Anolis sagrei: one gene and its partner. The protein of the gene in region 2 purifies or fractionates together with the protein of the main gene of each other region. This does not show direct contact. Links are inferred from orthologs where the notes say so. Each region holds a gene or a part of one and is shown on either strand. Other genes may lie near its edges.

What was found. The genes of interacting proteins can lie anywhere in the genome.
Region 1: the proteins of PPP6R2 (region 2) and ANKRD52 purify together in Homo sapiens (affinity purification with mass spectrometry; 3 studies listed by BioGRID and IntAct, counting the BioPlex papers as one, with this or other methods). This does not show direct contact. The link is inferred for Anolis sagrei from reciprocal best matches to the Homo sapiens genes PPP6R2 and ANKRD52.

What each region holds. Positions count from the first base shown.
Region 1 is NC_090022.1:138,444,262-138,451,616, forward strand, and holds the start of ANKRD52 (serine/threonine-protein phosphatase 6 regulatory ankyrin repeat subunit C), read left to right. Parts: upstream 1-4,338; 5' UTR 4,339-4,518; coding exon 4,519-4,545; intron 4,546-7,355. UniProt on the Homo sapiens protein: Putative regulatory subunit of protein phosphatase 6 (PP6) that may be involved in the recognition of phosphoprotein substrates.
Region 2 is NC_090025.1:200,515,141-200,522,128, forward strand, and holds the start of PPP6R2 (serine/threonine-protein phosphatase 6 regulatory subunit 2), read left to right. Parts: upstream 1-3,979; 5' UTR 3,980-3,997; coding exon of another isoform or gene 3,998-4,174; exon of another isoform or gene 4,175-4,350; intron 4,351-6,988. Other genes in the region: protein DENND6B, read right to left, coding at 564-669, 838-918, 1,013-1,131, 1,279-1,321, 3,846-3,884, 3,998-4,174. UniProt on the Homo sapiens protein: Regulatory subunit of protein phosphatase 6 (PP6). May function as a scaffolding PP6 subunit. Involved in the PP6-mediated dephosphorylation of NFKBIE opposing its degradation in response to TNF-alpha.

The DNA.
Region 1 (7,355 bases), on a different chromosome or scaffold from region 2:
GCCATTTCACAGATCCATAGGTTCTCTCTGACATTCATCAGAGTTGGTCTCCAGTTTAAATAAGTTGTGTTATTCTACTACATCATTGTATGTAAGGACACCTGAGCATCCATGGATTTTGGTATTCACGGGGGGGGGGGGGGGGGAGACGTGCCTGGAACTAAATTCCAACAGATACAGAGGGCTACTCTACTTCAATATTGAACAAAATAAGCACAGAAGGAATATGGGATCTGTCCCGCTGAGGTTGCCCAAATCTTTATTAATTTATTTTATTTTTTTATCCTGCCTTTCCCTTGACAATAGGGATTCACAGCATCTGATATATGAGGCTTGCCTCTTTGTGACTAATGCTGGAGATAGTCTTGCTCCCATTTCACAAAGCAGGCCTCACCCCATCTCACAAGGATATGGTCAAATTGCTCAGCCAACTGTGCTTCAGCTCTTTTGTCTTTCTTCAAAAAGGCCTTCTCTAATATAATTTAATGCTAGAGTTAGCCATGGAAAGCTTAGCCTTCCCATATTAATTGAATAGTATCTTAATCCCAAAAACGATATACGAAGCTTTCCACAGCATCAAGGTAAACACCACTGCTAATATCTGGATAATATGAAAGCGAAAGCTGGCAACCTTCAATCTATTGTTTGCAGTACAGTGGAGTTCTCAATGAGGAGCGGAGAATGCCAATGGAGAGGTATAGCACCCTCTACTGGGTCTCTGCAATAAAGGTAACTTCAGGAACACATCTTGTAAAGGCAACACATGTATTTGAGGATGGGTACTTTGTTGCCAAATAGAAAGGTGTAATAAACACATGTAAATTATTGAAAGCTTGAGTCTGAGCTGAAAAAACACCTCGTTGTTGTTGTTGTTGTAAATGACCCAATGAATGAGAGTCCTCTACATCCACATTGTACAATTAATGCAATTTGATACCACTTTAACTACCCTGGCTCAAGGATAGGGCATCATGAGAGTTGTGATTTCACAAGGTCTTTAGCCTTCTCTGCCAGAGTGCTGTTGCCTCACCAAACTCCAACTCCCAGGATCCCATAGCAGTCAACTAATGATGGGTTTTTTTTGTTTTTGTTTTTGTTTTGCCGTGTCAGGTCTGATTTGAGAAACTGCAAGCCGCTTCTAGTGTGAGAGAATTGGCCGTCTGCAAGGACATTGCCCAAGGGACACCCGGATGTTTTGATGTTTTACCACCCTTGTGGGAGGCTTCTCTCGTGTCCCCGCATGGAGAGCTGGAGCTGATAGAGGGACTCATCCACACTCTTCCTGGATTTGAATCTCTGACCTGTCGGTCTTCAGTCCTGCTGGCACAAGGGTTTAACCCACTGCGCCACCAGGGGCTCTATCAAGGCTGTTAAAGTGGTGTCAAACAAAGTGCAGATGGACATCAACATCCCTGCTCAGATTTTCAGACTCAGGGCCATGGCTTTCTTGACTGAGTTCACCCATCTCTAATGTGGCTTTTCATGGACAGCCATCCAAGGCCTCATAGGGGGTTAATGTACCCACCATCACCTTCCAGAGCTGCCCTCTCCTGCAATAAAACATGGGCAGAATATCAATAGCATCCTCTTAAAATGTCTTGGTTGGTGGGCTCTTCCCACCGATGTTTATACAGTATGTGAAAGATAAATACAACAGAGAAGAGCATCTTTCCCTGCAATAAAATTATGTAATGCATACATTTTCTTGGAAGATATTCAAGTTTCAACATGGTGCAGTCAGCCCTTCACCTTCATTGGAGTTAGGGGCTTCCTGATGTGGGGGAATAGCAACACCCCCCACGTGTTTCAGGATTCAGCAACATATTTGTGTTCATTGGTTACAGCTCTCTTTCTCCTTTTGTTCCAGGAAAACTTGCAGTGGTACGGGAGATGATGGCTTGCAGATTGGCACTTTGCCCCATACTACCATTTTGAGTAATACTGGGTAAAACAATCACTTTCCCCTTTGAAATGAAACACCGAGCCTTATAAAACCTTTCTCATAATTTCCCACTTCCATAGCATTATATCAGACATTGTATCATACATTGCCAGCCAAATACAACTGTGATGCCAGCTTTCAATTTGTAAAGATATATTTTCTTCTTCACAGTATACAGTGTAGTCTGTACAGCCTAATCCTGTGAATGTGTACTCAAAGTTTGTCTTTAACATGGGTAATAGCAGACAATATTAATAGCCCTATATTGTTGTTTATTGCTTTCAGGCCTATGTCTCAAGTATTCACTCTTGAACTGAACATTAGGACCTCATCTGGTTAGGCACACAAAACCTTGGGATGTGACTGTTGATTAGGCTCCATCTACACTGCTATATAATGCAGTTCGAAACCATTTTATATGGTAGTATAGACCCATCTTAATAGACCCATATTAAGATAATTGGGGGAGGGAGTTACAAAAGAAGAAAGAAAAAGAAAAGAAATTAAATAGATTATAGATTTATAGGCTGTTAAGGGTTAGGGAGGAGGGAAGGAATTGCAAAGAAGAAGAAGAAGACCACCAACATTCTGTTTTCCATTCCTGAGTTGGGATTATAGTCACTGCTATTTTGTTGTTGATTCATTCATTCATTCCCTTCCAACTCTTCGTGACACCTCCCCCAGCTCCTTCAAGGTCCAGCCAGTCACTTCAAAGGTACTATCCATCCATCTTGCCCTTGGTCGGTACCTCTTCTTTTTTCCTTCCATTTTTCCCAGCATCATTATCTTCTCCAAGCTTTCCTGTCTTCTCATGATGTGACCAAAGTACTTCTTCTTTGCCTCTAATATCCTTCCCTACAGTGAACAGCTGGGTATTATTTCCTGGAGTATGGACTTCTTATGGTCCAAAGCACTCTCATAATTTTCCTCTAGCACCACAGTTCAAAAGCATCTATCTTCCTTCGCTCAGCCTTCCTTATGGCCCAGCTCTCACATCCGTAGGTGACTATGGAGAATACCATTGCTTTAACTATATGGATCTTCGTTGCCAGGGTGATGTCTCTTTGTTGTTGTTCATTTGTTCAGTTGCTTCTGACTCTTCGTGACCTCATGGGCCAGCCCACGCCAGAGCTCTCTGTCAGCTGTCACCATCCCCAGCTCCTTCAGGGTCCAGCCAGTCCCTTCAAGGATGCCATCTACCCATCTTGCCCTTGGTTGGCCCCTCTTCCTTTTTCCTTCCATTTTCCCCAGCATCATGATCTTCTCCAAGCTTTCCTGTCTTCAGGATGTGGCCAAAGTACTTCATCTTTGTCTCTACTACCCTTCCCTACAGTGAGCAGCTGGGTATTATTTCCTGGAGTATGGACTTCTTATGGTCCAAAGCACTCTCTCAATTTTCCTCCAACACAACAGTTCAACAGTGTCTATCTTCCTTATGGCCCAGCTCTCACATCCATAGGTTTCTATGGGGAATACCCAGGGGCGGCTCAACCCATTACACAAAGTAAGCATTCGCAGTATAGTTGATTTTGGCCAGGGGCGCTCTTGAGGCGCTCTTGGGGGAAAATAGACCTTGACATATGTGAGTTCGGTTGTAGTTACTGGGATTTATAGTTCACCTAAAATCAAAGAGCATTCTGAACTCCACCAATGATAGAATTGAACCAAATATGGCACACAGAACTCCCACAACGAACAGAAAATATAGATCAGTGATTGGTTGGGGTGGGGGGACCAAAATATTGTTTGCTTACGTTGAAAATTACCTAGGGCTGCCTCTGGGAATACCATTGCTTTAACTATGCGGATCTTTGTTGCCAGTGTGATGTCTCTACTCTTCACTATTTTATCAAGATTGGGCATTGCTCTCCTCCCAAGAAGCAAACGTCTTCTGATTTCCTGGCTGAGGTCTGCATCTGCAGTTATCTTTGCTCCTAGAAATACAAAGTCTGTCACTGCCTGCACGTTTTCTCCTTCTGCTTGCCAGTTATCAATCAGTCTGGTTGCCAGAATCTTGGTTTTTTTGATGTTTAACTGCGACCCAGCCTTTGCACATTCTTCTTTCACCTTGTGTATGCAACTTGCCAAGTGTATGCAATTTAACAAGAAGGCTGCTCAGCTCCTCCTCGCTTTCGAGCATCAAAGTGGCATCATCTGCTGGAAGGAGCACAATACACAGATTTGCCGGGTCAGCGCATGCGCACAATGGCTGTTCTCCGAGGGCCGTGAGCTCAGACTCGCCTGCCTCCTTCTGCTCCGGGGCCTGCAGTGGCGGGGCCGGCCCGCTAGGGGCGCTCTCCCGGCGGGGCCTGCTCTCTTTCTCGCCCGCCTGCCTGCCTGCCTTCCTGCGAAGGGAGGGCGGGCTCAGTCCCTCCTCCTCCTCCTCCTCCTCCTCCTCCTCCTCCTCCTCCCTCTGCTGCTGCTCCTGCCTCGGCGCTGCCTCTCCGGGAGCCTGCCTGCTTGCTTGCCTGCGTGCCGCGGCGGCCACTGAAGCGCCATCGATGCCGGGAGCGCGGAGGCGGCGGTGGCGGCGCTCCTGCTGCTGCTGAGCGAGGTGGGGGCGGCCCCGCCCGGAGATGGGGATCCTCAGCATCACGGACCAGGTATCCCGCGGGAACGCCGAGGCCTCCCCCTCCCTCCCGGCCGCGCCCGCCACGCGAGCCTGGGGATGCGCGGCCTAGTCCGGAGCCGCCCCTTCCTCGCTCGGCGGGAAACTCCCCTCCCCGCCTCCCCCAGCCTCCTTGGCCCCGCCGCCCCAGAGGAACCCCCTCCTCAGTGGGGGAAGCCAGGAGAAGGAGAGGAGGAGGAAGGCGGGCCTCGGCAACGCCCGCCTTTCCCGCCCAAGGAGGCGCAGCAGCGCGGCAGGCAGGCAGGCCTCCCTCCTCCTCCTCCTCTCCTCACTGTGGATGGACGCAGTTTGGCCCCGCTCTCGCGGCCATGGCTCGAGGCTAGCGGACCCACTTTGCAAGGCCTTCAGCCCAAGAGGGATGAAAGCGCGTCAACAAAAAGCCACAGCTCCCAGGATTCCATAGCATTGAGCCCTGGCGCCCCAGGGAGAACGCGGCGTCCCTTCTCTTGCTCTTCCTTTCTTCCTTCCTTCCTTCCTTCCTTCCTTCCTTCTTTTCCAGTCCTTGCCGGGTTGCCTTCCACGGCGCCCCCTCCCCCGGCCATGATGCCAAGGCCGCATTCGGGGAGGGAGCCTCGTCGCCGCCACCGCCGCCGCCTCAGGGCGCGTCTGCACTGTCGAACTAATGCAGTTGGACACCGCTTGAACTTCACTGGCCCCATGCTATGTCATCCCCGGAGTTGTAGTTTGGAAAGGCACCAGTTTTAGGAAAGCATGATCTTTTAGAGATCAAATTACTAGAGGTTGTAATTTCCAACAACTAGTATCCTTTGGATTATTTAAAGAATCACGGAATCTAGGTTGTAGATTTTTTTTGGGCTGTATGGCCATATTCTAGAGGCATTCTCTCCTGACGTTTCGCCTGCATCTGTGGCAAGCATCATCAGAGCCTCAGGCCCCTTCCTTCCCCCCCTCAGCCGCTTAAGCTGAGGCTCTGAAGATGCTTGCCACAGATGCAGGCGAAACGTCAGAAGAGAACATGGCCATACAGCCTAAAAAACCTGCAACAACCCAGTGATTCCTGCCATGAAAGCCTTCAACAATACATAATCACAGGATTCCCCATGGTGCAATGGGTTAAACCCTTGTGCTAGCTGAATCCGGGGAGCGCCCTCTGTCAGCTTCAGCTTCCCATGCATGGACATGAGAGAAGTCTCCCACAAGGAGGGTAAAACATCAAAAACATCCGTGTGTCTCCTGGGAATGTCCTTGCAGATGGCCAATTATCTCATACCAGAAGTGACTTGCAGTTTCTCAAGTTTCTCCTGACATGGAGGGAAAAAAAAGAATTACAGAGTTGGAAAAACCACAAAGGTCATCCAATCCGTTCTGGGAATCACTGGGTTGCTGTGAGTTTTTCAGGCTGTATGGCCATGTTCCTGCAGCATCCTCTCCAGCAGCATCCTCTCCTCCGTGATTGTAGGAATCACTAAGTTGCTATCAGTTTTTCAGGCTTATGGCCATGCTCCAGCAGCATTCTCTCCTGAAGTTTCACCTGCATCTGTGGCTGGCATCTTCAGACGAACCTTCAGATGTGGCTGATATCTTCAGAGGCTCATCTGAAGATGCAGCGGAACGTCAGGAGAGAATGCTGCTGGAGCATGGCCATAAGCTTGACAAACTGATAGCAACTCAGTGGTTCCTACAACGGACTGGATGAAGGAAACAATGAAAATGAACAAAATCTGGCTATCAGTATTTTTAAAAAAACTCTAAAATCACATCAGCAAATAAAGAAAAACACTTTGAAAACACAGGAATTCCAGACAAGAAAAATCAGGCCTCTCAACTAAGGATTCCCCCAGGCAGGAAGCAGCCAGGCTTTGAAGCTGCAAGGCTTTTCAATGCTAGTCAAGGTGATTAATTGCACCATTCACACTTGCCTCCAACATACAAGAGTTCTTTCTCCATCTCTGGATCTTCCACAGATATATAAACCTCTCTCACTTAGTTCCAATATACCTCAGAACCTCTGAAGGTGCTGCTGTAGATGTGGGTGAAACGTCAGGCGAGAATGACCATTGGGGGTGCTTTGAATGCAGTTTTCCTGCTTCTTGGCAGGGGGTTGGACTGGATGGCCCACAAGGTCTCTTCCAGCTCTATAATTCTATGAATGCTTCTGGAACATGGCCATGCAGCCCGGATAACTCACATCAGCCCAGGATTGGATGATTTTTGCAATCTTTCCTACTTTGTAATTCTACAAGCTGTAGTTATCTGCAAAACTCACAGTAACTCATCATCCAGTCCAATCCCATTCTGCCATGCACATAATCAAAGCACCCCCAACAGATGGCCATACAACCTCTGCTTAAAAACATCCAGAGAAGGAGACTGCACCACACTCTGAGGTAGCACATTCCACTGCTCTTACCTTCAGGAAGTTCTTCCAAATGTTCAGGTGGAATAATTTTTCCCACAATTTGAATCCACTGCTCTGTGTCCTAGTCTCCAGATATGCAGAAAACAAGCTTGCCCCCTCCTCAGTGTAACATCCTTCCATAGCATTGAGCCATGGCAGTTCAAGTGGTGTCAAATGGCATTAATTCTGCAATGTAGATGCATGCTCTCTTCTCCAGGAAGTGGAGCAAGGAAGATTTTTTTTCTCCAGAGGTCGTTTCTCCTCTCCGCTCCTCTGTTGTGAAAGGAAAATTCGGTACAATTCCTCTATCTGTCTTAAAGGCAGGCTTGGGATCCAAGTGGCAACACTATTTCTTGGGCACTGTCTAGTGCTGCACCTCGCTCTGCCTCTCCCTCCAGATTGAGGGGCTTCCTCTTTTGTATTCC
Region 2 (6,988 bases):
CCCCTCCCCACCACAGACCCTTCAGGCTGGACAAAGCCACTTGAGCCCACCATCTCTAGCCAGGGACTGGGGATCCCCCCCCCTTCTGCTCAGGCTCTGCTGGCAACACAAGCCAGGCTGCCTCACAGCCCGTGGGCCCCCCCTCTCACCCAAGCCAGGAAAGGTGGCGTGTGCCCCCTCCCCACCACGGACCCTTCAGGCTGGACAAAGCCAGCAAATCAGCAGCCTCTGCCCCACAGACATGGCCCAGGAGGCTCCCCCCCCCCAAAGTGCCCCCTTGCAAAGTGCTGGGCCACTTGAGCCCACCACCTCTAGCCAGGGACTGGGGACCCCCCCCCCCCCTTCTGCTCAGGCTCTGCTGGCAACACAAGCCAGGCTGCCTCACAGCCCGTGGCCCCCCCCTCTCACCCAGGCCAGGAAAGGTGGCGTGTGCCCCCTCCCCACCACGGACCCTTCAGGCTGGACAAAGCCAGCAAATCGGCAGCCTCTGCCCCACAGACATGGCCCAGGAGGCTCCCCCCCCCCCAAAGTGCCCCCTGCAAAGTGCCCCTCCTCCTCCTCACCGGCCTCCAGGCAGGGCTCCAGCTTGTCAAAGTACTCGGGGGCAATGAGCTGCAGCAGAGACTGGAAGAGGTTCACGTAGGGTAGGCGGGAGACCAGCACCAAGGACTGCGACACGGAGGCAGAGGGGGGGGGGGGGAGAAACACGCACACACGTGAAGAGAGAAGTGTCTGTGTCGCTCTCGGAGATACAATCCCCCTTGTAGGGGTCCTGCTGGGCCCGTGGATGTGCACGCATGGGGGGGGGGGGGTTGGGGGGACACGGTGGCCACTCACCTTCTGGAAGTACCCCCTCTTGACGGAGGAGTCCCTGACCTGCCGGAAGTAGACGTAGCCAAAGTAGTGGGCCGTCTCCTGCTGGGAGGGAGAAGGGGAGGAAGAAGGAGGCCCTTGAGGCTTTGTGGCCCCCATTTTGGGCCCAATCCCCAGGCGGGGCCCCTGTGTTCCTGACCTGCAGGGCGGCGGGGGCCTCCTTGCGGCAGGCGGTGGCGCTCTGGGCCCAGGGGCGCTCCCGGAGGCGGGACCCGGACTGGCGGAAGCGGAAGCAGTACTGCGTGTCCCCCAGGCTCCCTGGCAAAGGAAGGAAGGAAGGGAGATGGAAGGGAGTGGCAGGTGAGGGGGGGGGCAGAGGCAGAGAGGACCCCTTCTGGCTGCCTCTCCCCCCCCCCCCCCCCGAGGCTCCCTTTGGCCCCCTTCCGTGCCCCCTTCTCCACTCACCTGAATAGGAATCCGGGAAGGCCAGGTAGCAGATGCTGGTCTTCTGCAGAAAGATCAGAGGAAGTGAGGTGAGGCTGGGGGTGGCCACAGCGTGGGGGGGGGGGGGGAGAGAAAGAGGATGCAGGGCTTGAAGGGAATTGTGTGGGAGGGGGATGAAGGGGCCCCCACTGTGCTGAAAACACAATTCTGAAATACGAAGGCCTGGAACACAACTACACTGCTGAACCGTAATTAAAAGTTGCTCAACTGCTGACGACCACAGAGAAATGATTAACTGCTAAACTTTGGATGAAAAATGTCGTGTTTACGTCATCAGAGGCAATGGCTCCTGAAGTTAAGGGAATGTTTACAAGGTTCCTTACGTTAAGAAGGAAGCCAGCAAGGCTCCTTGAGAAGGGAAACCAAGGGTCAGTTAAGGAAAGTCAGCATCTGCCCAGGAACCGATGGGAGTCACCTTCTTCAACTGTCTTCGGAGAGTGACCCTTTCACCCATTTTGTGTTTGTTCCCATCTACAGTTGTCCTCATGAGGCACTTTCCCCCGTCCTTAATGAATCCTAGAATCCTAGAGTTGGAAGAGACCTGGTGGGCCCTCATCCAGTCCAACCCCATTCTGTCAAGAAGCAGGAATCTTGCATTCAAAGCACCCCTGACAGATGGCCATCCTGCCTCTGTTTCAAAGCTTCCAAAGATGGAGCCTCCACCACGCTCCGGGGCAGAGAGTTCCACTGCTGAACGGCTCTCCTTACAGTCAGGAAGTTCTTCCTCATGTTCAGGTGGAATCTCCTCTCTTGTAGTTTGAAGCCCTTGTTCCCTTGCGTCCTAGTCTCCAGGGAAGCAGAAAACAAGCTTGCTCCCTCCTCCTCCCTGTGGCTTCCTATTTGACTGTGTTTGGCCTTCCTAATGAAGGCCAAACCCCGTCACTGCTCCTCCTCCTTGGCTCCTCCCGCACAAATACAATTCTTCTATCCCGACCTCATCCAAGGCTTTAATATTTTATCTTGTGCATTTGGCCCGCCCTTTGTGATTGACTTTTATTATATCAATGTATTGTTGAAGGCTTTCCACAGATATATAAACCCCTTTTCCTAGTTCCAACAGACCTCACTACCTCTGAGGATGCTTGCCACAGATGCAGGCGAAACGTCAGGAGTGAATACCTCTAGACCAGTGGTTCTCAACCTGTGGGTCCCCAGATGTTTTGGCCTTCAACTCCCAGAAATCCTAACAGCTGGTAAACTGACTGGGGTTCCTGGGAGTTGTAGGCCAAAAACACCTGGAGACCCCAGGTTGAGAACCACTGCTCTAGACCATGGCCATATAGCCCGAAATACCTATAACAACTCAGTTTAATTATATCATTTTGCACTGTTTATTTTACTTTGCTATTTTATGTATTTTGTTGTGATGTAATCTTTCTATTGTGTTGTATTTTATTTTGCTATATTATTTTTGGGCTTGGTCTCATGTTAGCCGCCCCGAGTCCCCTTTAGGGAGATGGTGGCGGGTTATAGATAAAGTTTATTTATTTATTTATTTATTATTCAACGTCTTGGAACAGAATCAGCAGAAATACTGCTCCGTAAGAGACCTTGTAATATTCCTAAAATATTCCTGGTCTGGCCTCCACCAAGCTCTTCTCCATGGGAAGGAGTTGTGTGTCTGGCAGGGAGGCCGGTCTGCCATGCAACGCAGAGCCTGGCCACTTGCTCCTTTCTCAGAGGAAGGGAGAGAATGTGTTTTGGGAGTATGGGGAAAAGGGCAGATTTGCAGGGAAGCAACCGGGCCAAAGTGCAAGTGGTGCCCCCCCCCCATGGCTCTGGAACTCCCTCCCCAGGCTGAACTACATTCATGGAGCCTGGACTGCGGCTGTGTTCTTTCTCAGCCATATTATTTTGTTGTTGTTTACAATTGTGATTGTCTTTATATTTTATCTGATGTTTTTAATTTGATTGTGTTTTATCTGTAATTGTTGTCCCTTGTAAGCTGCCCCGAGTCCCCTTGGGGAGATGGCTGGCGGGGTATAAAAATCAAGTTGTTATTATTATTATTCTCCAAAAGGTTGAAGAAATGGTTGTGTATTTTGTGTGTGTGTGTGTTGGGAGTGGCTTTAGAAACTGCAAGTCGCTTCTGGTGTGAGAGAATTGGTCGCCTGGAAGGACATTGCCCCGGGGACGCTGCCCAGATGTTTTCCCACCCTTGTGGGAGGGAGGCTTCTCTCAGGTCCCCTTTGCATGGGGAGCTGGAGCTGACAGGGGGAGCTCAACCCGCTCTCCCAGGATTCGATTGTGAACTAACCAAGGGAAGCTTTTTAATGTTTGTGAGAGTTTACAAACACCAGCCGCATCTATCCCTGGCCTGGGCCCACTGGGGTCCTCCCTCTGGGGGTTTTGGACTACAACTCCCACCGGCTGTGAGGAACTGTGGGAGTTGTAGTCCAAAACCCCCAGAGGGAGGTCCCCAGTGGGCCCAGGCCTGGTGTTTCCCCTTTAAATCCTATGGCTGTTCCTGATGGGGCGTGGCCTCCCTCCCCGGGGGCGTGGCCTGGCTCCCTGTGGGCGGGGCTTACCTCCTTCTCGCTGAGCGCCGGCTCCGGCGGGTAGACCAGCTGCAAGGGAAGAAGGGAAGGGAGGGAGGGGCGTTAGAGCGGCGAGGAGGGGGCGGGGCCAGACGAGGGGGCGGGGCCAGGGGGCGCCGTGACGTCACCCGCGCTCCTCCCACCTCGATGGCCTGCCCGAGCTCCAGGTCGAAGGTGACTGCGCAGGCGCACTCCAGCCAGGCCGAGAGCCGGGCCCAGGGCTGCGCGGGCGGGGAGGGGGTCTCCTCCTCCTGAGGCGGCGGCGGCGGAAGAGAGGGGCTCCGGGAGGGGAGGGCGCCGCCGCTCGGAGGCTCCTCCATCGCCGGCCCGGGCGGGGAAGCGCCTCAAGCTCCGCCCCTTCCGCTTCCGGGGCTCGCCGCTTCCGGTTCCGGCTGCGCTCCTTGAGGCGTCCATTTTGGAGCCGGAGCCGCCAAGAAGGGAAGCCGAGCAAGAAAGAGGAGGAGGAGGAGGACGACGACGGTGGCGCGGGCCCCGGGTGAGTTCCGCCTCGTTCCTTTCCTCCAGGCCGATCAGGCCCATCCGGGAGGGAGGGAGGGAGGCCTTCCTTCCTTCCTTCCTTGGTGCCTGCAAGGGGCGCCCCAGGGAGAAAGGAGGCCCGGCCTGGCCCCAAGGGAGGAAGAGAGAAAGGAAGAGTCCTGGCGCCTCTTTGCCCGGAATCGCCCTGGCTCTCAATCTGGGCAAAACAAGTAGAGAGCGCGAGGGAGTCTGAGGTGGAAGGGGTCCAGGGGAGGAAGGGGAGGCTCCCCCTCAGAGGGCCACAGCCCTGGAGACCCCGAAGGAAGGAAGGAAGGAGGCTCCCTCGAAGGAGGAGCACCCTGGAGAGACGGGCCTCTTTCGCCCTCAGGGGAGAGGAAAGTGGAGAGGAGCCACGGCTCATAGAATCCTCAAGCTGGAAGAGACCTGGTGGGCCATCATCCAGTCCAACCCCATTCTGCCAAGGAGCAGGACAATCACGTTCAAAGCACCCCTGACAGATGGCCATCCAGCCTCTGTTTCAAAGCCCCCATAGAAGGAGCCTCCACCACACTCCCTCCGGGGCAAAGAGTTCCACTGCTGAACAGCACTTCTTACAGTTAGGAAGTTCTTCCTCATCTTCAGGTGGGATCTCATAAGCTTGAACCCATGGCTCCATTGCGTCCTAGCCTCCAGAGCAGCAGAAAGGAAGCTTGCCCTCTCCTCCCTAGAACATCCCCTCACATATTGATCCATGGCCTTCCTCATGTTTCCTTTCAGCCTTCTCTTCTGCAGACTAAACATGCATAGAATCCTAGAATCAAACAGTTGGAAGAGACCTCCTGGGCCATTCAGTCCAACCCCTTTCTACCAAGAAGCAGGACAATCGCATTCAAATCACCCCTGACAGATGGCCACCCAGCCTCTGCTTAAAAGCCTACAAAGAAGGAGCCTCCACCACTCTCCCACCGGGACAGAGAGTTCCACTGCTGAACAGCTCTCACAGTCAGGAAGTTCTTCCTCACGTTCAGATGGAATCTCCTCTCTTGTAGTTTGAAGCCATGGCTATTGTACTTTGAAACCATGGCTCCATTGCGTCCTAGCCTCCAAGGAAGCAGAAAGGAAGCTTGTTCCCTCTCCCTAGGACTTCCCCTCACATATTTATACATGATCCTGATCATGGCTACTCTTAGTCTGGGCATGTTTAGCCTGAAGAAGAGAAGGCTGAGAGGAGATATGATGAGAGCCGTGTATGAATATGTGAGAGGAAGCCACAGGGAGGAGGAGGGAGCAAGCTTCCTTTCTGCTTCCCCGGAGACTAGGACGCAGTGGAACAATGGCTTCAAACTACAAGAGAGGAGATTCCACCTGAACATGAGGAAGAACTTCCTGACTGTGAGGAATGTTCAGCAGTGGAACTCTCTGCCCCGGGGGGAGTGTGGTGGAGGCTCCTTCTTTGGAAGCTTTGAAACAGAGGCTGGATGGCCATCTGTCAGGGGTGCTTTGAATGCAACATTCCTTCTTCTTGGCAGAATGGAGTTGGACTGGATGATGGCCCAGGAGGTCTCTTCCAACTCTAGGATTCTATGATTCTTCTCTCCTTCAGGCTAAACATGCCCAGCTCCTTAAGCCGCTGCTCATAGGGCTTGTTCTCCAGACCCTTGATCATTTGAGTCACCTTCTTTGTCTGGACACATTCCAGCTTGTCAATATCTCTCTTGAATTGTGGTGCCCAGAATTGGACACAGTGTGATTCCAGGTGTGGTCTGACCAAGGCAGCATAGAGCGTGGGGAGCACGACTTCCCTGGAACTAGACACTAGGCTCCTGTTGATGCAGGCCAAAATCCCATTGGCTTTTTTTGCCACCACATCACACTGTTGGCTCACGTTTAACTAGTTGTCCTTACTTACTTAGGTGATCCCTCATAGTCCGAGGATGATGTTCCTCCAAGAGTGGTAACCTGGGGCTGGGCCCGTAGGTGGCTGTGGAGCCCTATTCTTGATCTGCATCTTCTCCCTTCCGCAGTGAGGGCATCGGTTTCCAGGTGGAAGGTGGTCTTGGTCGGGGTTGGCTTGACGTGCCTTCCTCTTGGCACGCTTCTCCCTTTCGCCCTCCATTCATGCCTCCTCAAATTCTGCAGCACTGCTGGTCACAGCTGACCTCCAGCAGGAGCGCTCAAGGGCCAGGGCTTCCCAGTTCTCAGTGTCTATGCCAGAGTTTTTAAGGCTGGCTTTGAGCCCATCCTTAAATCTCTTTTCCTGTCCACCAACATTCCGTTGTCCGTTCTTGAGTTCGGAGTAGAGCAACTGCTTTGGGAGACGGTGGTCGGGCATCCGGACAACGTGACCAGTCCAGCGGAGTGGATGGCGGAGGAGCATCACTTCAATGCTTCTTCCAGCACGCTGATATTTGTCTGCTTGTCTTCCCAAGAGATTTGCAGGATTTTTCAGAGGCATGTGACGTCTGTAGACTGCCCATGTCTCGCAGGCGTAGAGCAGGGTTGGGAGGGGAATAGCTTTATAGACAAGCACCTTGGTCTCCCTATGGATGTCCCGGTCCTCAAACACTCTCTGCTTCATTTGGAAAAATGCTGCACTCGCAGAGCTCAGGCGGTGTTGTATTTCGGTGACGATGTTGACTTTGGTGGAGAGGTGGCTG